7 linked regions of the Sus scrofa genome follow. The main gene of each other region encodes a partner of the protein of the gene in region 3 in a complex. Links are inferred from orthologs where the notes say so. Each region holds a gene or a part of one and is shown on either strand. Other genes may lie near its edges.

Region 1 (3,908 bases), on a different chromosome or scaffold from region 3:
TGTTTCTGAATATGAAAATGACCTCAGCAATAATTATCAGGACTTGCTACAACAGCTGTCTTCAGTAAATCTTGAGAAGTAGATAATGTCAAACAGGTACTATAAATTTTACACAATAAGTGTATTTATCAATCACAATAGCATTTAGATAAATAACTGAAAAATAACAGCTTAAATATGCATGTACATCAATACTATTATTCATAAGGTCTACAGACAATATTTGATGCATACATGAACTCCCAGCCCTGTGCAATACTTCAGAAGGTCCCCACCCCTAGACACCCACACCCTGTCTTGGAAACTACAAACTTAGGCTATTTTAATATGATATGACCCACTCTCTTCTCCTCCACAAAAACATGTATCTTAACAATAAAAGATTATGTGTCAGGTAGATTTTATTTGTAATCAACCACTAGGGAAAAAAGGAGAAAAAAATGTTATTTGCCTCTTAGTCATTTGAATAAAGGACAGGAGGATTGCCAAGCAATAGTTGTACAGTGACTTAAAGCAGAGTAAGACAAGCAGTGAAGATTGAAGAAATGTTTTAAGGATCCACTAAAATAAAATTTTCTAGCAATGGAGCACAGGTGTGAACTCAGACTCTAAAGCAACAGTAGGTAGAGCAGTCTAACAAGGAATACAAGAAATGGACACATTGTCTAAGCAAACACTCATATCAAGTTTGAATTTAAGAGCAGCTTCCTAATTGATATTTTCTACTAATATCAAATGAAGCTAATAACTAAAATCTGTATTGCATGTGCCTCCTACAGGAAAAAGAAACTTTATAACTCTGATCTTCTGACACGCATAGTAGCTATTATTAAAGATTTAGAAAATAGACATACCATGATTTGCTCTACCACTGAAGAAAGTACTTTTACATAAAGGACTCCTTTAAAGCTAATTTAGGGTAATAATCAACAGCTAGGGAGGATACAAGAATTTTTTAAATATGAAGGCAGTGGATGCAAAGTCCAAATATTAGAATAACAGCTAAATAAATCCTTTAAATTTTCTCAAGTTTTAATCATTTCTGTTTTAAAATATAAGTAACTATATCAGTACTCTTCATAGAGCTAGCATCAGAAAAAGAAATGTTGTATAATGCTTAAATAATAGTCACATAAATATGAGAAAGCACAATAGAGCACAATTCTAATGGACAATCTACAAACCTAAACTGATAACTAGTTGCTACAGTCTTATCTCCTTATTAAAGCATGACAGTATTTTCAAGATAATATAAGTAAAAATATATAGTTAGGACTATATCAACATGTATCTCCTGTAACACACACTCCTGCTTGCTGCTTAAGTCGGCAAACATCAAAGTACTCACCATGTTAAAAAAAAATGAAGACTACAAAGATGGAAAAAAAGGAAAATAAGCTTGTATTTAAAGCTAGGCATCTTCTGGAGTTCCTGTCGTGGCGCAGTGGAAACGAATCTGACTAGGTTTCTATCCTGGCCTCGCTCAGTGGGTTAAAGGTGTGGCCTTGCCGTGAGTTGTGGTGTAGGTCACAGACGCAGCTCGGATCTGGCATTGCTGTGGCTATGGCGTAGACCAGCAGCTACAGCTCCAATTAGACCCCTAGCCTGGGAACCTCCATGTGCTGCAGGTGCAGTCCTAAAAAGACAAAAGACAAAAAATAAATAAATAAATAAATAAAAATAAAGCTAGGTATCTTCAATTATTTTCATTTAATGCCCATAACCATCCTGGAAGGTATTACCATTCTTATTGATATAAATAGGAAAAATGAGACTCAGAAAACTTGCACAAAATTAGGGCAATTAAGTAAGTGGTAGAGATTCAATGCAAATCCAGGTCTGCCTGAGTCCAAAACCTTAGGTCTTTCACATTATATGATTGTCTGCCCTTTACAGGCTCACAATATTACTGGAGAGACACACATGTATATACCTAAGAGAAGGCAGAATATAGAAGTGTCAAAATAGCTTGTTTCTCTAAATGCTATGGGCCCTCAATGGGCTCTCATAATTTTTAAACAGAGATCACTGAGAGAGGATTTTGAGGAAAAAAAAAAAAAAAACAGAGTTTAAAAAGAACCTCAGAATGTACATTTTAGCCAACAAATTGGCAAACAGAACATTCTAGGATTAAAGAATAGCATGAAAGGCAAAACATAAAAAGACAGGATAGAGTGTATTCTGTGACAGTGTGCATACTATATGGAGGCGAGGGTTAAAGTAGAAAGCAGAAAAATAATGTGGGGAATAAAACTAGATACTTATGGTAGGACAGATCACAGAAGGCTTTGGATTTTACTCTGTAGGCACTGAGTAATCATTTTAAGCATTAGAACAGGAAAATGAAATCACTAAAACTGTATTTTAGGGAAAAAAATGCTTTAGAATAAATTAGTAAGAGAGTAGAGGCTTACAGGCATAGAGTGCAGAGCAGGGACAACATAAGCCTTTGTCACTGGGTAGCATCAGTTAACAAACAGAACAGTGTACGCAGCAGGCATTCAAGAAAATAAGAGTTCCTGCCATGGATCAGCAGAAACGAATCTGACTAGTATCTATGAGGACGCAGGTTCAACCCCTGGCCTCAATCAGTGGGTTAAGGATTGTCTGGCATTGCCATGAGCTGTGGTGTAGGTCGCAGACACGGCTCCGATTTCCCATTGCTGTGGCTGTGGCACAGGCCAGCAGTTACAGCTACAACTCAACCCCTAGCCTAGGAATCTCCACATGCTACAGGTGTGGCCCTAAAAAGACACACACACACACAAAAAAAGGAAAAAACAAATGAAACTATGATAACATTCCAACAAAGAAATCAGAGCCTAAGTTAGGACAGCAGCAATAAAGAAATAAAACAGATTCAAAAACTCTGAAAGGTAGATGCAAAGAACTTAGTTACAATTTAGATGCACATGCAGCTTGAGGAAGAAGGTATTAAAGCTGAAATTTTACTGAGTGGCTGAAATTTTGGAGATATTTCATCCTCAAAGAAAAGTACTTTCTTAAAGTATGGAACTTCATATTATAATCTACACAGTAGGTTTTAAAGGTCTGCTTCACTCTAAACTGAGTACGTGTAGTATTTATAGTAGTATTTATACAAAAAGCCCATTACAGGATAAACGACATTTACATTAAATAGTTTGCAAAGAATCTTGAAAATAATTTGGTTTTAGAAAAATTTACTATATGCATATATTAGGAATATTTGGAATATATGTTTTACTTGAAACTTACTTTCTCCATCACCATCTTTATCAAATTCTTCTATCATAGCCCGAAGTTCTTCATCACTCATGTTTTCACCCAATTCTCTGGCAACACGTCGCAAATTCCTCAAGCTTATTTTACCTGAATCATCATCATCAAATAATTTAAATGCCTTCAATATTTCTTCATGTGGATCTCTTTCCAATATCCAGTCTGTCACTATAGTTAAAAAAAGGTGAAAACCAAAACTTTATAGTCACTATAGCACTCATTTGTGAAATCAACTAAGTATTAGATAAGAATTAAAGCTGTGAATGTGTCAATATTTAGTTTGACAATAAAAATGCCATACTGGAGCCCAAAGCTCCAGAGATAAAATTATAAAGACCAAATCAATATATTAAAATTTAACCTTTATATTATTAACAATTTATCCCATTATAAGATAAACATAACTGTATCACAGAAGCAAAAATTTTAAAACTATGTACCATATTTATTTAAGATCTACTATTATCAAGAATTGTACTAGGCTACATTAGCATCAGAAACACAAGCCTAGGAGTTTAGAAATGAGTTGCAGAGATGTTATAAAAATCAAACAATAAAAACCAACTAGGTAAAAGTTGTTTGCTTAATAGTAATATTGGCTGTTCCTCAAATTTAAAAGAAAACACCTGTGACAAATTAACAAAGTA
Region 2 (4,360 bases), on a different chromosome or scaffold from region 3:
TGACAAACGACATTAGACATACGTCACACAATCAGCAAAAAGTAGACAGCGCCAAAGTGGATGGTCCTAACCACCAGACACCCCAAAGGACTACGACCATATGGGACAGCAAAGAATCAGAGAAGAGAGATCGCTGGGGACTGATCCTCAAATTGAGACCTGGTAATGGGAGCAGGTGATTCTCAAGACACAGCAGACACGGCAGGAATGAGAATGCTCGTTCAGGGTTCACGGTAACATCTTCTCTATGTGTTTTCAAGAAATGAATTAAGTGCTACAATATCTCTCATTTATGTGTGCAATAAATACGAGGGAGCTAAGGGTTTTGGAGAGAAATTAAGACACAGAGATTAAATCGCTTGCCTCAAAGGTGAGATTAAAAAAAAAAAAATTACTGGGAGTTCCCATCGTGGCGCAACGGAAACAAATCCAACTAGTAACCATAAGGTTGCAGGTTCGATCCCTGCCCTTGCTCAGTGGGTTAAGGATCCGGCGTTGCCATGAGCTGTGGTGTAGGTCGCAGATGCGGCTCGGATCCCGTGTTGCTGTGGCTCTGGCGTAGGCCAGCAGTTGTAGCTCCAATTAGACCCCTAGCCTGGGAACCTCCATGTGCCATGGGTGCAGCCCTAAAAAAAAAAAAAAAAATTATTGACTTCCAGTCCAATATTCTAGCGAACAAGGAATTCCATTCCTAAAAGAATGGGAATTAATTGAAACTAGAAATTATCTTCCTTAGAGAGATTCATGTGGTTGGAAACTTTTGGATGAAAGCAACTAGATGAGAAATAGTCTGAGTTCCCCTGGTGGCTCTGGTTACTGCTGTGGCCAGGGTTCGCTCCCTATCCTGGGAACTTCCACATGCTGCATGGCCAAAAATAACAACAGTCCTTTATTAATAATTGTGTCCTTTTGATAGAAAGACTGAGACACAGCCAACCTACTCTGAGATAATCCTTTTGAGAAACACAGTTAACTACTCCACGTGGAAAAAATGAATAAAAGTTGCCACCGCCCATGGATGCTGACTCCACAGAAGCACACCTCTCCTTCGTGAACTGAAATTTAAGCTAGGCAGCATGCTTTCAAACCACAGCTGTTTTCTCGCACCCATTAACTTTAGAACACAAGAGATAACCCCAAATGCCAATATTCGAGCTTTCTGCCAAACCCTCAGTGATTCTCCCAACTGTGAGTGATTTAAGAGTACTGCTATTCCACTTTTGACCAGTGCCAACTCGTATTAACATACACCTTCTTACAAGCTTCAGAATCACCTCAATATTACCCTGAAAAGGATTAATATTTGGAGAAACAGACTCCAAGGGTAAGGTGGCCTGTCTGTGGTCATCTGCAAATCAGCAGGCACCAGGAACAGAATTTCAGTTTTCTCTTAGCTCAGACTTCTAGGCATTTCAAACAGAAGGCTGCTGTTCAGTATAATCCCAATCATTATAACATGCTGACCAGCACAAAAAGAAAGAAAAGATTGTTCCTAAAGCAGGCTATGCACAAAGCAGGGCCTAGAAATCCCAGGTGTCATTTCTGCCACTTTCAGGTGTGAATGTGGTAGGTTCCCCCAGGATGAAGAAAGCATCTTTCAGGCAAACTAACCGCTTCCCTCTCCTTGCCCTCTCTTTCACTGAAGAACGCGCCTGGCCCTGCAGGAGCTGACCTTTACCCAAGCTCCACAAGGACTGTAAGACAAGCCTAAAAAAAGGAGAGCACAGCGACCACAATGCTGCCCGATACAAGAGCTGACATGAAAAACAGCGGAGGAGAAAAACACAAACTGCTCCAGAAATAGTTCGATGGAAATTCCAGAGAAGAGAAATCTCACTTGAAACTTTACATGATTAAAAAGTATCATCACAATGGAAAAAAAAAAAAAAAAGTCACTTGAGCAGAGAGGCGCAGGAAGTCGTACAGAGAACAAGGGCAATACTTGTCATAAATATTTACTCAGAGCCTATTCCATGCTCTTCGGAGTGTTGAGTAGTAGTGAAAAGCCAAAAAAAGTAGCGAAACACTGCAGGCACAGGGAAGAAGTGACAAGGGGACGGTTAGCCGGGAGGGTGGCCGCGAGAATGGAAGCCGCTTCGAGCTGTAAGTGGAAGATGGAAGTGTGGCGATCTGGTTACAGATCCAGAGGCAGACACACGCCTGTTCGAAGCCTCACCGGACCCCTCCGCCAGTTCTGAGTTGGGTCTATGAGTCATCTATCCGTAAAACACAAGGTGCCGCTCGGAGTCGTGGGAGTTCAAGGAGATAAAGCCATGGAAAAGAACGCGCCTCGCCAGCCCGGCGCTGGTATCGCTCCAGAAGTAAGAACTGTCTCTTTCTTTTGAGTATTTTATCTTCCCGTCCCCAAAGCCCAGTACAGTGCGTGGGGTGTCCGCTGACGGAATCAATACAGGAGAAAATGAATAGATGGATGAATGAAAGGCTGGGCGGCCCAAGAGGGCAGAAACTGCAGGAACGTGGCTCGGCGACGCCCGAAACAGACCTTCCATGGAGAGCACATGCGGGACCCTGGGGAGCGCCGCCGGGAAGGGCCCAGGAGGCTGCGGCGGGGACGGGGTGGGGGCTCCCCGGGCGACCGCGAAGCGCCCCGTCGCGCCTCGAGGGAGCGTCACGCCAGCCAGGAAGCGGGAGGGGGGCGCCGAGGGACGCGCCACGGGGAGAGGGGAAGAAGGGAAAGGAACCGGAGACCGGAGGCGGGCGCCGAGGGAAGGGGTAAGGCACCGGCCCCCTCTCCGAGAAGTCGCTTCAGATGCCCGCGCGCCGAGACCGTTTGGCCGTAACCGCCTCCATCCCGGCGCCCGTCCGCCTAGCCGGCCTTCGCCCCGCCACTGCCGCTACATCGTGCCCTCAAATCCCGCCCCGCTTCCGGCTCGGATTCGACCCGGCGCCTAACAGCCACCCCCGCTGACTCGGCCCGCTCCGCACCTCACACACGGCCCGGTGGCGGCCGCCGCCATCTTCGCGCGCGCGCGCCCTAGCCCCGCCCCCAGACGCCGCGCCCACGTGACCGCTCGCCTCCGGGGCGTGGACGGGGCTTTTCGTCACGTGACGGCGGGCGGGGCCAACATGGCGTGGCCCGGAGCGGTGAGGACTCCCGGGCGAGGGCGGTCGAGTCAGTGAGGGAGTCGGTGGAGGAGCGACACCTACGCTTGAGGTGGGAGACGTTGGAGCGTGACCTGACGCCAGCTCCTTGCCTGCACAGAGTGATCATTCAGTGGCGCTTCCCTTCTGGCAGCAGGAGAGCGGATAGAGAACGTGCTGGCTGGGTGAAGCTACCGCTCTGTGCCTGGCGAGGATTGAGGAGCCCAGAATCCAAGGCATCTCCAGTCACCCGGGTTTCCCCGGGGTCCCAGATCTAGAGACATGACCCGAGAGTGCGCTCCTCCGGCCTCTGGGTCCGGGGCTCCGCTGAGCGGGTCCGTGCTGGCAGAGGCAGCGGTGGTGTTCATAGTGGTACTGAGCATCCACGCAGCAGTGTGGGATCGGTACTCGTGGTGCGCCGTGGCCCTCGCCGTGCAGGCCTTCTACGTCCAATACAAGTGGGACCGACTGCTACAGCAGGGAAGCGCGGTCTTCCAGTTCCGAATGTCCGCAAACAGTGGCCTCCTGCCCGCTTCGGTGGTCATGCCTTTGCTCGGACTGGTTATGAAGGAGCGCTGCCAGGCTGCGGGGAACCCATACTTTGAGCGCTTTGGAATTGTGGTGGCGGCCACTGGCATGGCAGTGGCCCTCTTCTCGTCAGTATTGGCTCTGGGCATCACTCGCCCGGTGCCCACCAACACCTGTGTCATCTCGGGCTTGGCTGGAGGTGTCATCATTTATATCATGAAGCACTCTCTGAGTGTAGGCGAGGTGATAGAGGTCCTGGAGGTCCTGCTGATCTTCGTCTACCTCAACATGATCCTGCTGTACCTGTTGCCCCGCTGCTTCACCCCTGGAGAGGCTCTGCTGGTATTGGGTGGCATCAGCTTCATGCTCAACCAGCTCATTAAGCGGTCTCTGACTGTGGTGGAAAGCCAGGGAGACCCCTTGGACTTCTTCCTGCTGGTGGTGGTGGTAGGGATGGTGCTCATGGGCATCTTCTTCAGCACCCTCTTTGTTTTCATGGATTCAGGCACCTGGGCCTCCTCCATCTTCTTCCACCTCATGACCTGTGTGCTGGGCCTTGGCGTGGTCCTGCCCTGGCTTCACCGGCTCATCCGCAGGAATCCCCTGCTCTGGCTTTTTCAGTTCCTCTTCCAGACGGAGACCCGAGTCTACCTCCTGGCCTACTGGTCTCTGCTGGCCACCTTGGCCTGCCTGGTGGTGCTATACCAGAATGCCAAGCGGTCATCTTCTG
Region 3 (4,439 bases):
ACATCCTTGAAATAGAACAAAGTTGGAAAACTCACCACTTCCCAATTTCAAACTGAACTACAACACTACAGCACTACCACATTACACAACGTGGTAATGACATAAGAATGGACATAACAAACTAATGAAACAAAATTGAGAGCTCAAAAATAAACCCATAAAGCTACTGCCAACTGATTTCTGACAAACGTGCCAAGTCCACTCAATGGAAAAAGAAGAGTCTCTTCAATAGATGGTGATGGGGAGTTCCTGTCGTAGCTCAGTGGTTAACAAACCCAACTAGTATCCATGAAGACATGGGTTTGATCCATGGCCTTGATCAGTGGGTTAAGGATCCAGCATTGCTATGAGCTGTGGTGCAGGTTGCAGACGCGGCTCGCTTCTGGCACTGCTGTGCTCTGGCGTAAGCTGGCAGTTGTACCTTTGATTTGACCCCTAGCCTGGGAACCTCCATTTGCCGTGGGTGCAGCCCTAAAAAGCAAAAACATAAAACAAAATAAAATAAAATAGGCAAATTCATACAGAAGTAAATTAAATGTAACCGGGGGTTAGTTAGGGAGAAGAGGAACCTAGGGAGTTATCACTCAAGAGTTACAAAGTTTCTGTTTGTGGTGATGAAAAATTTTGGAAATAGTAGTGAAAGTGGCACATTACCTGTGCAATTAACACTACCGAATTACACACGTAAAAGTAGTTAAAATGGGCAAATTTTGTTACACCTGGTTTACCATAATTTAAAACATCAACAATATAATGTACCAAAACTCATTACACTGTACTTTTTTTTTTTTCTTTTTAGGGCCGCACCTGAGGCATACGGAGATTCCCAGGCTAGGGGTTGAATCAGAGCTGTAGCCTCTGGCCTACAACAGAGCCACAGCAATGCCAGATCCAAGCCATGTCTGCAACCTACACCACAGCTCCCAGCAACACCAGATCCTTAACCCACTGAGAGAGGCCAGGGATCAAACCCGCAACCTCGTGGTTCCTAGCCGGATTCGTTTCCGCTGCACCATGATGGGAACTCCTAAACTGTACATTTTGAATGATGAGTTGTATGGCATGTAAATTACTCCTCAATAAAGCTGATGAAAATATACTTTAATTTTAGGAGTTCCCATGTGGCTCAGTGATAACAAATCCAACTAGTATCCATGAGGATGTGGGTTTGAACTCTGGCCCTGCTCAGTGGGTTAAGGATCAGTCATTGCTGTGAGCTGCAGGGTAGTGAGCTGCGGTGTAGGTCGAAGATGCGGCTTGGATCCTGCTTGGCTGTGGTGTAGCCCAGCAGCTGCAGCTCTGATTCAACCCCTAGCCTGGGAACTTCCATGTGCCACAGGTGTGGCCCTAAAAATGAAACAAAACAAAAAATATATGTATGTTCTAATTTTATGTCAAAACAGTGACATACACCTAAGAAATAATTCCACATAATGTTATTATGACAGTATTTACTGTACAGCCTTAATAGTATGTACTCGAACTACAGACAGTCTTAACCTTCATTCAGGAATCTTAAACACCCGAGAAAAACAGGTCAAGAAGGATAGAACTGTAGTTAGCAAGAAACGATTTTAAAAAGCAAAGAACCATGAGGTTGAGGGTTTGATCCCTGGCCTTACTCAATGGGTTGAGGATCTGGAGTTGCCGGGAGCTGTGGTGTAGGTCGCAGACGTGGTGGGATTTGGCGTTGCTGTGGCTCTGGCTAGGCTGGCAGGTACAGCTCCGATTGGACCCTAGCTTGGGAACCTCCATATGCCGCAGATGCGGCCCTAAAAAGACTAAATAAATAAAAAGCAAAAAGAGGAATACACCAGAATTGAATATACAGAGCCTTTCTTCCCCAACCCACAAATTCATACTTTTTTTTTTTAAATGAGCTGCGGTATAGTGAGCTGCGGTGTGGGTTGCAGATGTGGCTTGGATCCTGCGTTGATCCTCGCGGCATGCGCGAGTTCCTGGGCTAGAGACTGACCCTGAACCACAGCAGTGACACCAGATCCTTAACCACTAGGCTACCAGGGACCTCCCACGAATTCATAATTTGAAAGACAGAGGAAGTTTATGACAACAGCAATACACAACTGTCAAGATGGCACTAAAAAAAAAAAAAAAAAAACACCTTTCTTTTCCATTTTTATGTATTTATTTATTTATTTTTAAGAGCCAGGCCCGCAGCATATGGAAGTTCCCCTACCCGGAACACCTTAAATGACTGTACTTTAACACCCATATCTACTGCGAGCACTTAATGCGCTAAACACTTCCGTTAATGTTTAACACGGGACATACTAAAAACTCCTATCAGTAGCCTGATTCCGCCCTATTAACGAAATAAACAGAACTTGCTTCAAATCCCACAGCCTGTGTCCAGCATAGCTATGACTCCACCCCAGGGAAGTGACTCGGGATCCTGCGCCCACCCCCTACTCGCCGTCCCCGTCCCCGTCCCCTCTAGGCACCACGTCCGGTCGGATCCACGATGTGGCCAACTCCCTACGTGGGAACAAGGGGAAGTACCCTAAGAGACATCTACGTCTACCCCAGCAATAAGGCCCGGGAAGGAACTCAGAACCCCCGCGACCCAGCGGGAAAACGAAAGTCGGCAAAAGCAGCTTCCAATGCAGAGTGTGAGGGATGGCGAGGCGGCCGCGCCGAAGCGGCAGCGCCTCGGCGTGGAGCCCGGGCAGTGGGCACAGCGGGGCCGGCCGGGCGCCGTAGAGGACGAAGAGGAAGAGAAGGAGAAGGAAAAGCAGAAGGGAGCGCCGCGCCAACGCCCGCCCGCCGCCTCCCCGCCCCCCGCGCGCCGGCCGCGCCTCAGTGGGAGCCATGGCGCCGCGGCCCGCCCGGAGGCCGCGCGCCCATCCCGCTCACCTCTCGGGGCGACGGAGCGGAGCCCTGCACTGAGGCGATGTACCGCTCCACGTCCGCCTTGCTACGCCGCATCGCGCCGCCGAGCGGGGTCCGCGCGAGGGACGCCAGCGCCGAGGCCGCAGCTGCCGCCGTCTCAGGAGCTCGGCGCCCGAAGGTCCGTGACGCAGCTCCGTAGCCGGCGAGGGGCAGACACGCGTGCGTGCATGCGTGCGTACGTGCGTGTTGCGTCATCACTGTGCGCCGCGCAGGCCCTCGGGCGCCGGCGTTCGGTGGTGACTATGCTAGCGAGGTGCGCGGGAATGCGAAGGTGACGTAGTGACAACGAGGCGACGGGGACTGGTCCAACCCACGGACGTTCCTAACAGTCACACCTCGGCGCCAGTCGTAGGCGTTTAGAAAGCGTCTTCCGGAGCTCCTGTTGTGCTTCCATAGAAAAGAGCCCGACCAATATTCATGAGGGCTCCGGTTCGATCCCTGCCCTAGCTCAATGGTACAAGGATGCCGCGTTGCTGTGGCCATGGTGTAGGCGGGCAGCTACAGCTCTGATTCAGCACCTATCCTGGGAATTTCAGTATTCCTTGGGTGTAGCCTTACAAAGCAAAAATAAGGTGTTTTCAGTAGGTTTCAGATTTCAGCAGATCACATCAGTGTATACAGGGAGTTTAGAATTTATAGTTATGGTTTATTTTTATTTTTTGCTTATAGACTTTATGGTTTTATCCAACACTTAAAAGTCGCCTGGCCACTTAGAATCTATCCTTTTTTATTTTTCCATTTTCCAAACTTCCTTCTTTTTTTTTTTTTTTTTTTTTTTGGCTTTTTATGGGCCTCACCTGCGGCGTATGGAACTTCCCAGGCCAGGGGTCAAATCCGAGCTCCAGCTGCCAGCCTACACCACAGCTCAGGCAACACCCACAGAGCAGGGCCAGGGATCTAACCGGAGCCCTCATGGTATTTGTGATACTAGCCAGATTTGTTACTGCTGGGCCACAATGGGAACTCCCATTTTCCAAACTTGGCAATGACCAATTACTGCCTCTGTAAAGAGGGAAAATCAGCCCGTCCTATTTCATTTCAGTCATTTTGGATATGAATAAGAGTACTAAGGCAGGAATGATTCTGTAAACAAGCCACTGTTAGTGGGTGAACTTTAGTGGTCCTGCTCAGCCTCAGGTCAGCATTGCAGTGGGCCTTTCCCCCAAGCAAGGGACCATTGGTGAGTGACCACTGGCCTCTCCCCCTCCCCTTTCTCTGTACAAAAGGAACCTGAATTCAGAGAAAGGCAAGATGGTTTTTTTGAGACACTAGTCTGCCGGCTTTCCAATTAAAGTCATTATTCCTGGCCTCAGTATCCCGATGTACTGGCCTGTTGAGCTGTAAGCAGAGGGAACTGGGTTCAGGATCAATTGTGAGGTTGCTACTGGGATTGGCATAATTAACGGAAGTACAGTGTAAAGAAAACTGGTCCTGGATGGAATATCTCACTTTAGGTGTTGATTTATTTCACCTGAGTTTCCATTTGTGTATTCAAGTGGAGATGCCCAGCCTGCAGGTGAAGTCGTAGG
Region 4 (3,908 bases), on a different chromosome or scaffold from region 3:
GGGAAAACCGTGGGATCACCCTTACTTGGCGAAGTGAAAAAAGGAAAATCATTTTGACAACACAAGCTAATTGTGAGTTATGTCTGGGCCACTGAATCAGCTGCTAAAAGCGCCTTTTCAGGGCAGCATGGCCCCGAAAACTGTAAAGTGCAGAAAACTCTAGAAAAAACGAGAAGAGAAGATTTTCCGACATCAAGAAATCATTCTCTTGCTCCTACGTGGTACTTTCTGATGCTTTTTCCCTGAAGGTACAAAATATGACTCTTTAAGAGAAAAACAGTTATTCTTAACAGCACAGTTCTAAACCAGCTCTACCACAATATTTTTTTCTCCAGAAAACCCAAGTACATTCAAGCTAAATCACATATGCTGTCTCGCTTCAAGGACAGTAACTACAAAAATAAGAAACATTCTCTCCACTTCTACCAAAAACAACAAAACAAACCCACTTGAGGTTTTTTTTCCCAGAAATTAATTTTTTTTAAAGGACTATCACCTCTTTTTGTTTTGATGGAGTTCCTATTGCGGCTCACTGGAAACGAATCTGACTAGCATCCATGAGGACACAGGTTCAATCCCTGGCCTCGCTCAGTGGGTTAAGGATCTGTCATTGCCGTAAGCTGTGGTGTAGGTCAAAGACGCAGCCCGGATCTGATGTTGCTGTGGCTATGGTGCAGGCCAGGGGCTACAGTTCCGATTCGACCTCTCGCCTAGGAACCTCCATATGCCAGGGCAGGGGCAGCCCTAAAAAGCGCACGCACACACACACACACAAAGATAAAATATTGTTTTTCTTATTATTTATTTTCGCTTTTTTTTTTTTTTTTCCCAGCCCTGCCCGCAGCATATGGAAGTTCCCAGATTAGTGCTCAAATCAGAGCTACAGGTGCCAGCCTACACTAGAGCCAAAGCCGGACCCACACCGGAGCTTGCGGCAACGCCGGATCCTTAACCCACAAAGCGGAGCCAGGGGTCGAACCTGCATCCTCATGGACACTAGCTGCCTTCGTTCCCACTGAGCCACAGTGGGAACTCCCCAGTAACTAGTTTTTAAATAGATGACCACTACCACACGTTACAGAGCAGAAGACTTCATTACCCACCAGATGTTACTCCTACTGTGGAGGGAAGAGTGGCACACACTTTCACGGTTTCTGTGACTTGCAGGACAGCAATGCTGCCATCGGCCAGACAAACTGCCACCATGGAGGCGACGGTAGGGTTCCACTTCATGTCAATCACCATGCCTCCTGCATCTTTCGAGAGCTTGTGATAGGCAAACGGACGTTTCTGCTGCTTAGCCTTTTAAAACAAATGCCCAGAAACAAAAATAAACAGACATTTAACAGTCAAAAAAAAAAACATTGAATACACAAGTTTTCTCCAATTATAGTTCACTCTGCTCCATGACAAGAATACTTAGCCCTGCACAACGTGTTTGTTACAATTTTAATACAACTTTGAAAACGGCAATTATTCCAGCATACTTGGAGAGACTCAACAGGGGAATACACACATGTAGAACAATAAAGAGTATATACTAGACTAAAATCTGGGCTTTTCTTTTTTTTGGTTGTGCAAGTTCTTGGGTGAGGGATTGATCCTGAGCCACAGCAGTGACCCAAGCTGCTACAGCAACAATGCCAGATCTTTAACCTGTTGTGCCACCAGGGAACTCTTGGGCTCTGCTTATTAACAGTATTGGGTCCTTGAATTTTATTTTTTTTTTAAGGTCACCCCACGGCACATGAAAGTTCCCATGTTAGGGGTCCAATCGGAGCTACAGCTCCTGGCCTATGCCGCAGCAACACCGGATCCTGAACCCACTGAGCAAGGCTAGGGATCAAACCCACATCCTCATGGATACTCGTCGGGTTCATGACCCGGTGAGCCACACAACAGGAACTCCCCCGAAATAATTTCTTGAGGTCACTTTTATCTCTAAGATCTGTGATTCTATAATTAAGGACCTTTTAAAAACCCGTACTTTAATCTAGAAAAAGATTCAAAGGTCAACCCAGAACTTGTAGATTCTGATTCAGTACCAGGTCCCTACAGTTTGCCAGCAGCTTACCTCATTTGAAAAGGTGCGAACATCAAAAAAAGCAATAATGGAGCCATATTCACTGGACATCATGCACACGGAAAGCGTGAGGTTATCGCAGCTTAGGGCCAGGTGATGTATCGGGAATTTCATAGGAACCAGCAGGCTCTGAACTTTATCAACTATGAAGACAAAATAACCCACAAAGCAGAAGATGGAGTGTTCTAAGCATAAGCCACAAGCCCTCTATTCAAGTTGACGTAAAATAACTTTAGCATCTACACAAACATATGCACACACCCTGATACCCAGCTGTGCAGATAAATCATGGCTGTCCTGCAGATGTACAATGATGCTTTAAGTATTCTAGGATTCTTCCTCTTAAGACCTGGGGAAACTCGCAGTGGCTGTGCTCCTTGTTGAAAATAGTGTCCTGGAGTTCCCATCATGGCTCAGCGGAAATGAACCTGACTAGCATCCATGAGGATGTGGGTTCGATCCCTGGCACTGTTCAGTGGGCCAGGGATCCGGTGTTGCCGTGAGCTATGGTGTAGGTCGCAGACTCAACTCAGATCTGGCCGTCTATGGCCATGGTGTAGGCTGGCAGCTGCAGCTCTGATTCAACCCCTAGCCTGGGAACCTCCACATGCTGCGAGTGTAAAAAGCAAAAAAAGAAAAAGAAAATAGTGTCCCATGCTGAATTTCTGTAACAACACTCCAAATAGTACATATTCCCATTTGTTTGGATGGTGCTCCTATGACAACTAAAAAGCCATGCAACACAACTCTTCCGGGAGAAAGCCGGAGCAAGTTCAACTGAGCAAAAACTAAAAGCAAGGAACAACTCATCAAAAGAGATACACGAAGAATCAAACGGAACTCCCAGAAAAGCTTCCAGCAGCCTACCCAGAACTTACTCTTCCTGGGGGTCAATCTCAGGACTAACAGCAGTTTTAATTGTACTGGGAGGATGACTTCTTCGGAAGCAAATGGCATTAGCACTGCACGACTCCTCTCTTTACAATGCACCATAAATTAAGTAACTTACCTATCTTATTGGGATCATCGCCAGGTTTATTCTGAATAAGAAGATTTTTGGTAGGAAAAATCTGCAACCCACTGGCTCCACCGGCAAAGACCAGGCCATACTTGTTGGACACGGCAAGTAGACTTGAGCGTTCCTTCGGCAGCTCCTCAGGGGAGTCAAAGATTCTCACCTTCTTCAGTGCTCTAAACTGAAAATCCTGTGGTGAGGGGTCAAAACAAGATCAATTCAAGTAAATAGGAAATTAAATCACCTGTCACTATATTCCAGTACGACAAAATACATGTTACCCTGAGGCTAAGTACTGTGTAGCTCAGTCTTCTTTGGGCCATGCCTGCAGCATGTGGAAGTTCCTAGGCCAGGGATCAAACCCACACCACAGCAGGGACCTGAGCCACTGCAGGATCCTTAACCCACTGAGCCATGAGGGAACTCTGCGCGTTTTTAATCTTCCTATGACATTGTGGTACCTGGCATAGTGCTTATTAGTATTTATTGAATAAAATAAATTTTTAAAAACTCATGAAGCTTTTCTTGACTAACCCAGTGAACACTGATCTTTCCCTTTTCTGAATTCCTAGCTTATTTATTTGTCTTTTTGTCTTTTCTAGGGCTGTATCCACAAAATACGGAGGTTCCCAGGCTAGGGGTCTAATGAGAGCTGTAGCCGCCGGCCTACACTTGAGCCACAGCAACACAGGATCCGAGCCGCATCTGAGACCTTCACCACAGTTCACGGCAACGCCAGATCCTCAACCCACTGAACAAGGCCAGGGTTCGAACCTGCGTCCGCATGGATGCCAGTCAGGTTTGTTAACT
Region 5 (3,908 bases), on a different chromosome or scaffold from region 3:
CAGAACGCAGCTTGCTTATACTCTTTTAAAGTTAGAGCATAGCCCAGCCAACCTTTCCAAAGTGAAGGTGGCAAAAGACCACTTTAATGAATATGCAATAAATGCCAAACTTAAAAATTAAATGCATACACAGTCCAGTCCTTACCGAACTTATTTGCTGTTAAAGTCCCAGAGTCAGTTAGTTCCAGTACTGATAAATGCTGAAGATTAGACTCTCTGTGAGGAAAGGGGAAAAAACCCAGCTAAGTTCTCTTAGGCCAAACATTACCCCAACAAGTTATCCAATCAAGAACACTTTTAATTTTATTAATACATTACACAGGAAAGCTCCACTGAAAGCACAAAAAAAAATCTGAAAAACAGACATGGTGTAGATTGTTCCCTGTATCATTCAGTGATCCTTCAATGAGAAGCCAGAGCAGAAATTTCTCTTGACCCCAAGGCCATGAAAAGCCTTCCCTTGCCAGAAAAAACTAAAGTGGCTTATCTAAGGGAAATATAAGATTTACAGTTATATATTGATTTTTTTCTTTTTTTTTTTTGGTTAAGAATCTCAGCCTACCTTAAATAACTACATGTTTTTGTATGTGGTCTAATTTTCCCTGTGACCTCCTCTTATTATTTTGCCTTTGACAGGATTTGTCTTTATATTTTATATACATATATAATAATAAAAACACACTATTTTCATTCTTATAAGTTGCCTTTAGCCTTTGGAAGATGGAATATCTCAAAGCTCTGAGTTTTAAAGGCTAATCACTCTATGGCATAATATTTAGATTTTTTTTCTTTAAGACAGTGGAAAAAATAAATTACGCTCACAATTTGTTTTAAAAATAATTAGAATAATGAAACTCACAGTGTGTCAACTGGAACATCAGTTGCTAAACACTGACTTCCCCACTTAATGAGGTAATAGGATAAGAGTAGGGGAGCTGTTCGGTGTAGTAGGTCTTGCTGAGCTTGAAAGAGCTGACCAGCTCCCAAAATCACCTGTACATGATGGGTGGGTGGGTGGGTGAAACAGTAAACAGCAATTAGCAATGGTAATTCTTAGGTTTAGGTATAGATAAAATAAAACAACACAGTTAAAAAGGGCATTCATAAAAGCAACATACCTACAAGCATACACAAAAGCAACACACCTATTACATTTTGGGGCGGCATATGGCAAAAACATCTACCCTAATAGCAGTACAAAACAATCAGAAAAAGCTCACAAGGTCATGTGAGCTGATGGTGAAACAGAGCAACAACAACATCAAGCTTAACTTTCATTAAATCTGTAAGTCCAGAACTCAAGAAGGGTAATAAGGAAATCTAAGTCCTTTCTGAAGCCTCTGGTCTTGGGTAAAAATAGATATTACCATCAGAGGAAAATGTGATAAGACCACCAAAGCCTCAAACATGTGGGTAACTTGGGACCAATCAATTCTAGTTCTTGGAATTCATCCTGGGGACATAGTCAAAGGAGTAAAGAAAGTTCTATCAATAAGAGGAAAACTGGCCACAACCTGGATGGCCACAGGATTGGTTGAATAAATTAAAATTGTACCAGGCAATTATTAAAAATAATGTTGTACAAAAATACTTGATAACACGTGAACGTGCTGGTGAGATTTGTAAAGCAAAGGAATAAAAATAACCAGATTACAAAAACGTAATTGGCATATGCATATATGGCATATGCAAATTTTGTAATTAAAATTTAGAAACTATCTGCAGAGAAAATGAGGGTATATACGAAAATGTAAATAGTGGCTAAACAGTTACAGATGAATTTTTATTTTCTTTTTGTTTATAAATACAGGATTACCTATAAAGATTCTACAATGAATATCTATTTCGTGTTTAGAAAACACTGACAAAGATTATAATTAAAAACAAAACAGAACAAAACCCAAACCTGAAGAAATGGAAGAGTCTACAAAGACTGAAAAGAACTAAGCAAGGGCTGCCCTGAGTGAGAGACTCTCAGGAAGGTTCCTGTTTCTCCCTGGTCGTCCTAAACAGATCATCTTCCTATTTTGTCCTTACTTTTACTTGAAATCCTGCCACCAGCAAGGTATTTGAGTAAATATATTCTGACTTGAAAAGTATATATACCTCTTGGGCTCCAAAAGCCTATCAGTTATTTATATATTAACATGAATTAGTTTAATCAGATTGCTTCCTTATGAGGCTCAGATAAAATTACTGAGTGAGAGACAAATGGGCCTTCTGCTGGTGGGCAGAAAGGGACATTTTTTTGAACATAAAACATTCATCGCTACTTGGCTTGTTGGCTAAGATCAAGTGTAGTATCTGTTCTTATCAGTTTAATATATGATACGTCCTCTATCTGAGGACAATATATTAAATGGATTTTTGGGGCTAGGAATTGGAACAGGAGCTTGCTCCATCCACTCTGCGCATCAATCTGGTATTGTAGTACTTCCAGGAACGGTGCACCCCCTCTGGGTGGGGGGGGGAGGGGAATTCAGCAGGGTGGGAAAGGACAGGAGGAAGGCAACAAGAATCTGGTGGCCTTAGAAGAGGATGGAAAGGAAGCACAGAAAGGAGCTGGGAGGATCCCTAAAACAGACTCTGTCATCTCAAAACTTCTTAGGGTAAATCCTATACTGCAGAAATAGAGTTTTTTTCTTCTTCCTTTCTTTTCTATACCAACATCCAACGTTGAACTAATAACACTAAACTTGGGAGCTCCCTAGTGGCTCAGTGGGTTAAGGACCCAGCACTGCAGGTTCGATCCCTGGCCCAGGAACATCCGGATGCCACAGGTGTGGCAAAACAAACAAACAAACAAAAAACCTCCTAAATCTGCACAGAGCTGACCTAGGAAAATTTCTCACTATTATACATACAAAGGTTAAGAGTAAAACAACCTGCTTCATAGATGTTCTTACTCTGTAATTGTAGGTTATTATGCGTACTCATTCTTAATTCGACATGCATTTTATAGAGTACTCACTATGGGCCAAGCCTGGGGGAGAGAGCAGTGAACAGAGACAGAAGTCTGTGCACAAAAAGCTGGCATTCTGCTATTGCGCCCATAGGTCTCGATGAGGATTTAGATTTCATAAGCTCTCCCCTGAGTAGTACTTACTGCATCTCCCAGCCTCATTAGTAGCTGCTGTAAGATCAACAGATCTCGGCAGATGAGGAAGCGAGTACTGGCAATCTTACACACATTTCTGCACACAATATACCCAGCTGTGCTACTACCATAGAGCTGGGAAAGATTCATTCGAATATTCAAAGGCTGAGCTGTAATTCAAAAAGAAAAAGTTAAATGGATTACTGTTTTCTCTAAATCAAATGAAAAAGGCATGTTTGTTGTTTTGTCATTTACCTGGATTGAATCCCTTTTCCATTTCCACTTCTGTTTCATAATCCATTTCCCGTATAACAAGTCCAATGGCATGGATTGGGTTCCGAATCTCTTGCAGTTTACTGCAAATATCCTCCATCACATTGTCTCTATGAGGAAATGAGAAAACTCCTATTACTACTGAGACCACATAAGACAGATTCTACACATCCTGTAAGCTAAATGCTCTACGAAACAGGAAAACCAACCACATAATAAAAGAGTGGAGATAATCATGCTAGCACGCAACATATTTTATTCCATGTAGCTAATTTTCCCTCTATTTTTCAGAAATGACAAACAAAATCAATGTGAGGAAAATGTTTTAAAATTTACAGCTTAGTTAATAGCCAGGCCATAACTTATGAGTCTGTTTCCAGACCCAAGTTAATGTGTGAGACTTTCTGGTTAAAAGCTGCAACACTGGAGTTCCTGTTGTGTCCCAGCAGATTAAGAACCCGACTAGAATCTGTGAGGATATGGGTTCCATCCCTGGCCTCAATGGGTTAAGGATCTGGTGTTGCCAAAGCAGAGGTGT
Region 6 (3,908 bases), on a different chromosome or scaffold from region 3:
CATATGCCGCGGGAGCAGCCCTAGAAAAGGCTAGAAAAAGACCAAAAAAAAAAAAAAAAAAAAAAAAAATTTTTTTTTTTTTTTTTTCACTTCAAAGAAGCAGAATTAGGAGTTCCCGTCATGGCTCAGTGGTTAATGAACCCAACTAGCATCCATGAAGTCTCGGGTTGAATCCCTGGATCCAGCGTTGCCGTGAGCTGTGGTGTAGGTTGCAGATGCAGCTCAAATTCCATGTTGCTGTGGCTCTAGCGTAGGCTGGTGGCTACAGCTCCAATTGGACCCCTAGCCTGAGAACTTCCATGTGGCGCAGGTGCAGCCCTAAAATTAAAAAAAAAAAAAAAAGGACCAGAATTTTAGGAGTGGAAACAATATTTTAAAAGATAAAAATACTATTCTGACAAGATCAGTACCTTGGTTTCGGAATGCTTCTTTAGTGGAATAAACCAGAAATGAAGCACCTAAATGACCAGCTCAACACAGAAATCATTAAACAGTGCCAAGCTACTGATCCATCACTCTGCTCCCCCAGGTATAAATAAAGATAGTGACAGCCATTACCTACCTCACTTTCTTTTCCCTAAGAAATTTATTTGAAAAATTATGTCAGAATTTCAGGAGCAACTGGCCACCCACATGGTCTCTAAAATACCTTAAATGATATCAGACAGAAAGCTAAAAATCAAGGTGCCAAAGACATCTTAACTAGTTATCACCTCTGTCTCAAAAGGAGGATTTAACGGTATGGTAATTACTGTATTTACAGGCGGGAACATGGGAAAGGGACCTGAGCTAACAGCTACAGAAGGAGCTTTAGCGCTCTGCTAAAACCCAAATGCAGCGTTTTCTTTTTCTTTTTTTTTGTCTTTATCTTTTTAGGGCTGTACCCACGGCATATGGCGCTTCCCAGGCTAGGGGTCTAATCGGAGCTATAGCTGCCGGCCTACACCACAGCCACAGCAACACCAGTTCGGAGCCATGTCTGCCATCTACACCACAGCTCATGGCAACGCCAGATCCTTACTTAACCCACTGAACGAGGCCAGGGATCAAACCCACAACCTCATGGTACCCGGTTGGATTCGTTTGAGCTGCACTACAATAGGAAATCCAAATGCAGCATTTTCTAAGCCAGCTGTACCCCATCAGTCACGCAATTAATTCAGTGGGTACAACCAGCATCTTCCTTCTAAAATGAAAATGAATAGAAAATATACTTATCTTTACTGCTAACCAGCAAATGATTGGTTTTTATAGTAATTTAGAGATAGGAGCTAAGGTCCAGGACAATACCTCTTTTTACATGGATTTTTTTTTTTTTTTTGTCCTTTTAGGGCCTCGTTAAGGGTCAAATTGGAACTGTAGCTGCCGGCCTACTCCTCAGCCATAGCAAGATCCAAGCTGTGTCTTCGACCTACACCACAGCTCACAGCAACACCGGATCATAAACCCACTGATCGAGGCCAGGGATCGAACCTGCATCCTCGTGTCCGGCGTCCTCATGGTTATTAGTCTGGTTCGTTAGCGCTGAGCCATGGCAGGAACTCCTCATTTTACATGGATTTTCAATAAAGAACAAATCATTTTAAAACCAAAACTGTTTACCTATATTTCATTTTAAAGTTGTAACATAAAAAAGTGCTTTACTAAGACCTTACCTTTAAACTCAGACTTGGTGCCTGGTTTTGCACTTTCGCATGCTATACATTTGGTGGAATCTGCTTTATTCTCCACTAGGCACACATCACAGTTCCAGTTTCCCTCAGGTTTCTTAAACTTGTCCAATCCTAGGGAGCCTCCAGACAACACAGAGACAGGGACAGTGCTGCTACTTGAAGCAGGTACTGAACTTCCTAAAAAATAATGGAGAAATACAGGAAAATTCCTAATTTACATCATGTCAATATCTCAGTGACACCACCAAGTCTTAATTTCCATTCTTATTAGAGTTTATTAAGATAGAGAAAATGCCAGAAGTCTAAACATTACATTGTTAAAAACAATACAGACATCTCAGATTTCTTTTAATCTTATAAATGAGCAACTCACAAACCTTGTGCAATGATGAGCTCCCTCTTAACCCCAATTATGAAGAGCCAGGATTTTTAAAAATCATGCTCATATTTCAGAGCCTAAAAGACTCAATTCTCCTTAAGATTCATTATCAAATTTCACAGCATTATACAATGTAAGTTCCAAACTGTAGGCAACAGTCTAAAACATAAAATACAGAGCCTAGACCACATTCATTTCAAGATTGCCAAGGACAGGGCTCTGCTTTGAAATGACAATTTTGCATAGAAATGTTCTACTGGCCACTCTGCAATTCAACTCGATACTACTGACTACCGTCCACAGCATTTGTTATAAAGCAGCTATCTAACAGACATGAATTAATAAGCACCATAACGTTCTTAGGTTCTGGGGGCGGAGAGCAAGATGAACAAGATGTTGCTTAACTTCTAAAGGTGCTCATGGTCTAAAAAGGGGGAAGTAAAACAAACATAAATGCACAGTAGCACCATTACGGACAAAGAGTAACACATGATCTAAACAAGAGGACAAAGAGGAAAGGACTACAGGACAGGAGAAGGAGTCACAGAGCTGATATTTACATTTTTAAGCAGAACTAGCAACTGTGGGGGAGAGGCGGCAGCACAGGAAGGATGGCTCAGCGAGGCGCAGGTGCATGAAGAAATAGTGTCGAGAGCGGAGCCATTCATTCTGGTGCCCCCACTTCTCTAAATGTTCTCCAACTGTCGTCACTTTTCCCAGTTACCTGATCTGCCGTTTACTGGTATGTTCTTTTCCATCCTGCCAATAAAATCGTTCCATCTTTGGTCCACTGCCCTTCTCACAAGCTCTCCTCGACTCCGAACATTTTAATCACCAAACAAAACCATCTTCTGATCTGGACCTGCCACCCACTCTTCAGGTTTCCTCCCCGTGCTGTCCTCTTGTCGGTGGTTCCACTATCCCCCTGGTTACCCTGGCTAGATGGCAACTCTTCCCTTACCCTTACACATTCAATACATTTCATTCTTTTTCTGACCCTTCTCCTGCTATTTTGGTTTGAGCTCCCTCACCTCTTGCTTAATAGCCCTGTTTTTTGTTTCTTTTCTTTTTTTTTTAGGGTGGCGCTTGTGGCACATGGACGTTCCCAGGCAAGGGGTTGATTTGGAGCTGTGGCTATGGGCCTACACCACAGCCACAGAAACACTGGATCTGAGCCACATCTGTGACCCACCCCGCAGCTTGTGGCAACGCCGGATCCTTAACCCACGGAGGGAGGCCAGGGATCAAACCCACATCCTCACGCACACTACGTCAGGTTCTTTTTGTTCCCTTGAAATCCATCCTCTAAAAAGCACCAGTACCGTGTGGTTTTTGATTTTCCTCTCTGGTTACTCCTTTAAAAGATTAACTGTTCCAAAGTTTTATTCCTGCTACTCCCTTAAGTTAGCAGAGTTCTGTTTTAGGCTGTCTATTTGCTCTGCTCATTCACCTCACATCACCTCTACGCCCATGACTGACTTGAAAATTCTGGGCTAAGTCCTCCCGGATCTGTATCTCCAGCCCAGAGGGTCCAGCGTCAGTGTAACCAAAGGCTTCACACCTATCTGTCAACTTTAGCAGCTTGAAAGCAACCATGTCTCCAACTGCACATTATTCTACGGCCCCCTCTAATCCTTATTTGATTCCACTAGTACACATCACTAGGATCTTGACCTATATAACTGATATAACTTCCTAATCTGTCCTCTGGTCTCCAAATTTTGTTGCCTTCAAATCTATCCTCCAAAAAGCCACCGAGTGATTTACCAAAATTACAAGTTTGACCAGATCATTTTCTGCTTATAATGGTGGTTCAGCTAAAGGATGAAGTGGAAGTTTTTTCATATATATATGAG
Region 7 (3,908 bases), on a different chromosome or scaffold from region 3:
ACTCCAAGTTTTAATATTTCTAATTTAAAACTTAAAGAAACTATTATCTAGGGAATAAAGTACTTTGTTATTTAAAACAAGTCAAAAAAAGCAGTAATTAAGAAATACTAATTAAGGGATAAAACTGCTCTAAAATATAGATCATTTGAAAATCAAAAACAAAGGAGAATTTTCTTTTATGATCACATTGCTTTTACCACATCTTGATAATGAGTTCTACACACCATGCAGAGCTCCACCTAGTGGTTAAGTGGTGTTTTTTTTTCAATTCAACTAAATACAATATTAAATTGTTTTCGTCAAGAGGAAAATAGGGGAGGTGTGTCGGCAGAAGAGAGTAGGGAGTGAAATCCCCAATACTCTCTTAAAAAAAAAAATAACAACCTCCTATTTGTTTAAAAAGTTCCTCTGAATTACTCTTTCTTTTGTGGGGGGGGGGGCCACACCCACAGCATGTGGAAGTTCCAGGGCCAGGGATTAAACCCGTGCCACAGCAGCATAGCAGCATCCTGAGCCACTGCAGTGACAATGTCAAATCCTTAACTCACTGCGCCACAAGGGAACTCTTGAAATACTTTTTTATTTTTAAGGCCCCTAAAAACATTTTTGTGCATTATTTAAGCTGGTAGGACATTTCTATAAATATATCCTTCTAAGGATTATAGTATGCAAAAATATATAGCCAGTTAAAAATAGTATGAGATAATGTGAGTCTTACACACAAAGTGGTTTTTAAGAATTTGTGTACAAAATAACAAATGCTCATAAAAGTTCTCAGAAAGAGACAAGGAGATGGTGCTTACAAGTTCTTAAATAGAAGAGTAACTCTGGCAGAGAATACTATAACTGGTCTCTTGAATAGTTAAAAACATTTTCAATATGTGGAGACAGGAGAATCCATATTATTATTCTTTTTTTTTTTTTTTTTTTTTTTGCTTTTTAAGGCTGCACCTGTGGCATATGAAGGTTCCCAGGCCAGGGGTCAAATCGGAGCCATAGCTGCTGGCCTATACCACAGCCAGCAACGCAGGATCCAAGCCACATCTGCAACCTACACCACAGCTCACGACAACACTGGATCCTTAACCCACTGAGTGTGGCCAAGGATCGAACCTGCAACCTCATGGTTCTTAGTCAGATTCTTTTCTGCTGCTCCACGATGGGAACTCTCACATTATCATTCTTAATTAAAAATGCTAACTACAGTTTAGATAGCAGATTTACAACTATTTTAAACACACAGATCTTTCAAACAAGAAATTCTATTTCTTGTAATCTATCCAAGAAAAACCTCCCATTAGTACAAAAATACATATGTACACTATTGATGAGAGTTTAAACTGGTAGAGGTCCATTTGGTAGAATCTATTAAAGCAAAAATATGCACACTCTTTCATATGGAAATGAGGTATCTTCTTTGAGAAATATACGGGCTTATAAAATACTTGATTCAGAATTTTTGTGACAGTAAAAAATTCGAAACAAATTAAGTGCTTCTGAATAAGGCAAATGATTAAATGTTACTTCCATACTATGGAATAATGAGCAATTTTAAAAGTTACAACTAGGTATGTATTATATATATTGTTCAATGGGACCACAGGTGAGAGTATTACAAAAAAATATAACCAAAAATAATATTTGAGGGTGCTTTGTTTTCACATTAGTCTTGTACGATTGTCACAATTTTAGAACTAAGAACACTTGACTTTAGAGTAAGCACCTTTTTTGGGGGGGGCGGGGGGCTGTGCCCGTAGTATGTGGAAGTTCTCAGGCCAGGGACTGAACCTGTGCTACAGCAGCAACCTGAGCCACTACAGTGACAATGCCAGATCCTTAATCTACTGTGCCAAAAGGGAACTCCTAGAGTAAGCACTTCAATGATTCCATAAACACTCATTTATTATAGCTGATGAAAAAGTGATTTTTTTAAGAAATTAAAGTAACCAATCCCTAAAACCAGAAAAGATTAGAAATCTAATTCTACCTGCTTCTAAGGTGTCTGGTTCATCTGGTCTCTGGGCAATCTGTAAGTAATACAGCAGAGAGCCATACAGGTGTGTCCTCACTCGCTGGAACCCACCACCTAAGAAAAAAGAGTAGGAGAGTAAAAACCTTTTTTCAAATTAAAGTTATAGCGAATACAGAAGTTGCAATTTATAGAAAATTTAGATGAAAAAACCTGTCTTCAAAATGAAGTCTAAGAGTTTCTTCAATATGATGTGAAGTGAAGAATCTCCAATAGAAGCAAACCCCACCACAGGGTTCTCCGCTGGCGGAGGTGAGGTGAAAGAGCTATCAAGCATAAAAGCATAATGGGCCTCTCCAGGTCCCAAGACTAACGGTTGCTTCTGTTCTGTGCGAACGGCTTGGCTTAGGTGAGCGGTCAGGGTGAACACGGCACCTGCTACCACTGGCATTAACTCCTGTGCGGCTTCATCATCGAGGATCTAAAAGCAGAAAGAGGATCTGCTTTCAGCTACAGTCATGAACATGTCTTATACATTTAGCTTTTCAACTACCATAAGAACTTAAGAATAGAATTGCATTGTTCAAAGAAAATAAAGGCTAATGCACAGGAGGAAATTTATTTTTTTTTGTCTTTTTTTTTTTTTTTTGCTATTTCTTGGGCTGCTCCCGCGGCACATGGAGGTTCCCAGGCTAGGGGTCTAATCAGAGCTGTGGCTGCTGGTCTACACCGCAGCCACAGCAATGTGGGATCCGAGCCGTGTCTGCGACCTACACCACAGCTCACAGCAACGCCGGATCCTTAACCCACTGAGCAAGGGCAGGGGTTGAACCCGCAACGTCCTGGTTCCTAGTCGGATTCGTTAACCACTGCGCCACGACAGGAACTCCCACAGAAGGAAATTTAAATTGCTGGGTAACATGTTCTTAACTAGAAGAGATTCCTATCAGAATTCCCTAGAGATTTTTAAGGAAATTAAAATAATGTCTCACCACGTCTAGGGTAGAATCTGTCATGTGTATATATATATATATATATATATATATATATATATATTTTTTTTTTTTTTTTTTTTTTTTTTTTGTCTTTTTGTCTTTTTCTAGGGCTGCTCCTGCGGCATATGGAGGTTCCCAGGCTAGGGGTCCAATCGGAGCTGTAGCCACTGGCCTACACCAGAGCCACAGCAACGAGGGATCCAAGCCGCGTCTGCAACCTACACCACAGCTCACGGCAACACCGGATCCTTAACCCACTGAGCAAGGCCAGGGATCGAACCCGCGACCTCATGGTTCCTAGTCAGATTCGTTAACCACTGAGCCACGACGGGAACTCCTGTCATGTATATTTTTAAAAAGCTCCCTAGAAAATTCTGATACACACTCTGGTTGAGAGCGATTAGTGTACAAAGTTAGGACCTTTCTCAAGGAAAGTCTTAACAGTGGTGTTGCACAACTCTATTTACTCCCAATCTAAAATGGAAAAAAAGGAGTGGCAAACTATGTTTCAATGGTATAAATATGTATTCGGCTGTATAAAACAATTTAGGAGGCATGGTTACCACCTTATCATGCACATCTTGTAAAATATCACGAATAATCAGTTGTCGATCTTCTGCCTGAATTAGGTCCTGGGGACAAGCTGTCAGTATGATCTCTACCAGCTGCCTCCATGACTCCAGCGCATGCCGTTTTGCATGAAGACACTGCAGCAATTTGTTTCTTCCTACCACGTACTGAAGAATAGTGCTGATCTCCTAAAGCCGCAGAAATTGAATTGCAAGGTTAACACAGAGGCAAATAATGTCTTTTCCTAACAGGTTCCGAATTTTAATTCTGTCAGCTAAACTGAAAATATATATAGTATACTTAGGAAACACATGCATGGCAGTCAACAAATGATTTTTCATGTTATACTGGTGGCCGGAGCATGAAAAATAATA

The links.
Region 1: E3 SUMO-protein ligase RanBP2 (region 3) and CETN3 share a complex: the UniProt entries of both Homo sapiens proteins name them as parts of the nuclear pore complex. The link is inferred for Sus scrofa from reciprocal best matches to the Homo sapiens genes RANBP2 and CETN3.
Region 2: E3 SUMO-protein ligase RanBP2 (region 3) and NUP188 share a complex: the UniProt entries of both Homo sapiens proteins name them as parts of the nuclear pore complex. The link is inferred for Sus scrofa from reciprocal best matches to the Homo sapiens genes RANBP2 and NUP188.
Region 4: E3 SUMO-protein ligase RanBP2 (region 3) and NUP214 share a complex: the UniProt entries of both Homo sapiens proteins name them as parts of the nuclear pore complex. The link is inferred for Sus scrofa from reciprocal best matches to the Homo sapiens genes RANBP2 and NUP214.
Region 5: E3 SUMO-protein ligase RanBP2 (region 3) and NUP160 share a complex: the UniProt entries of both Homo sapiens proteins name them as parts of the nuclear pore complex. The link is inferred for Sus scrofa from reciprocal best matches to the Homo sapiens genes RANBP2 and NUP160.
Region 6: E3 SUMO-protein ligase RanBP2 (region 3) and NUP153 share a complex: the UniProt entries of both Homo sapiens proteins name them as parts of the nuclear pore complex. The link is inferred for Sus scrofa from reciprocal best matches to the Homo sapiens genes RANBP2 and NUP153.
Region 7: E3 SUMO-protein ligase RanBP2 (region 3) and NUP205 share a complex: the UniProt entries of both Homo sapiens proteins name them as parts of the nuclear pore complex. The link is inferred for Sus scrofa from reciprocal best matches to the Homo sapiens genes RANBP2 and NUP205.

What each region holds. Positions count from the first base shown.
Region 1 is NC_010444.4:97,579,680-97,583,587, forward strand, and holds part of CETN3 (centrin-3), read right to left. Parts: intron 3,430-3,908; coding exon 3,238-3,429; intron 1-3,237. UniProt on the Homo sapiens protein: Plays a fundamental role in microtubule-organizing center structure and function. As a component of the TREX-2 complex, involved in the export of mRNAs to the cytoplasm through the nuclear pores.
Region 2 is NC_010443.5:269,258,181-269,262,540, reverse strand, and holds the start of NUP188 (nucleoporin NUP188 homolog), read right to left. Parts: upstream 3,046-4,360; 5' UTR 2,979-3,045; coding exon 2,947-2,978; intron 1-2,946. Other genes in the region: DOLK (dolichol kinase), read left to right, coding at 3,385-4,360. UniProt on the Homo sapiens protein: Component of the nuclear pore complex (NPC), a complex required for the trafficking across the nuclear envelope. Required for proper protein transport into the nucleus.
Region 3 is NC_010445.4:47,598,275-47,602,713, forward strand, and holds the start of E3 SUMO-protein ligase RanBP2, read right to left. Parts: upstream 3,055-4,439; 5' UTR 2,947-3,054; coding exon 2,875-2,946; intron 1-2,874. UniProt on the Homo sapiens protein: E3 SUMO-protein ligase which facilitates SUMO1 and SUMO2 conjugation by UBE2I. Involved in transport factor (Ran-GTP, karyopherin)-mediated protein import via the F-G repeat-containing domain which acts as a docking site for substrates.
Region 4 is NC_010443.5:271,106,509-271,110,416, reverse strand, and holds part of NUP214 (nuclear pore complex protein Nup214), read right to left. Parts: intron 3,289-3,908; coding exon 3,093-3,288; intron 2,227-3,092; coding exon 2,075-2,226; intron 1,303-2,074; coding exon 1,104-1,302; intron 1-1,103. UniProt on the Homo sapiens protein: Part of the nuclear pore complex. Has a critical role in nucleocytoplasmic transport.
Region 5 is NC_010444.4:14,867,478-14,871,385, reverse strand, and holds part of NUP160 (nuclear pore complex protein Nup160), read right to left. Parts: intron 3,481-3,908; coding exon 3,353-3,480; intron 3,268-3,352; coding exon 3,107-3,267; intron 994-3,106; coding exon 860-993; intron 217-859; coding exon 146-216; intron 1-145. UniProt on the Homo sapiens protein: Functions as a component of the nuclear pore complex (NPC). Involved in poly(A)+ RNA transport.
Region 6 is NC_010449.5:13,410,874-13,414,781, forward strand, and holds part of NUP153 (nuclear pore complex protein Nup153), read right to left. Parts: intron 1,851-3,908; coding exon 1,656-1,850; intron 1-1,655. UniProt on the Homo sapiens protein: Component of the nuclear pore complex (NPC), a complex required for the trafficking across the nuclear envelope. Functions as a scaffolding element in the nuclear phase of the NPC essential for normal nucleocytoplasmic transport of proteins and mRNAs.
Region 7 is NC_010460.4:13,718,385-13,722,292, forward strand, and holds part of NUP205 (nuclear pore complex protein Nup205), read right to left. Parts: intron 3,723-3,908; coding exon 3,531-3,722; intron 2,451-3,530; coding exon 2,183-2,450; intron 2,087-2,182; coding exon 1,988-2,086; intron 1-1,987. UniProt on the Homo sapiens protein: Plays a role in the nuclear pore complex (NPC) assembly and/or maintenance. May anchor NUP62 and other nucleoporins, but not NUP153 and TPR, to the NPC.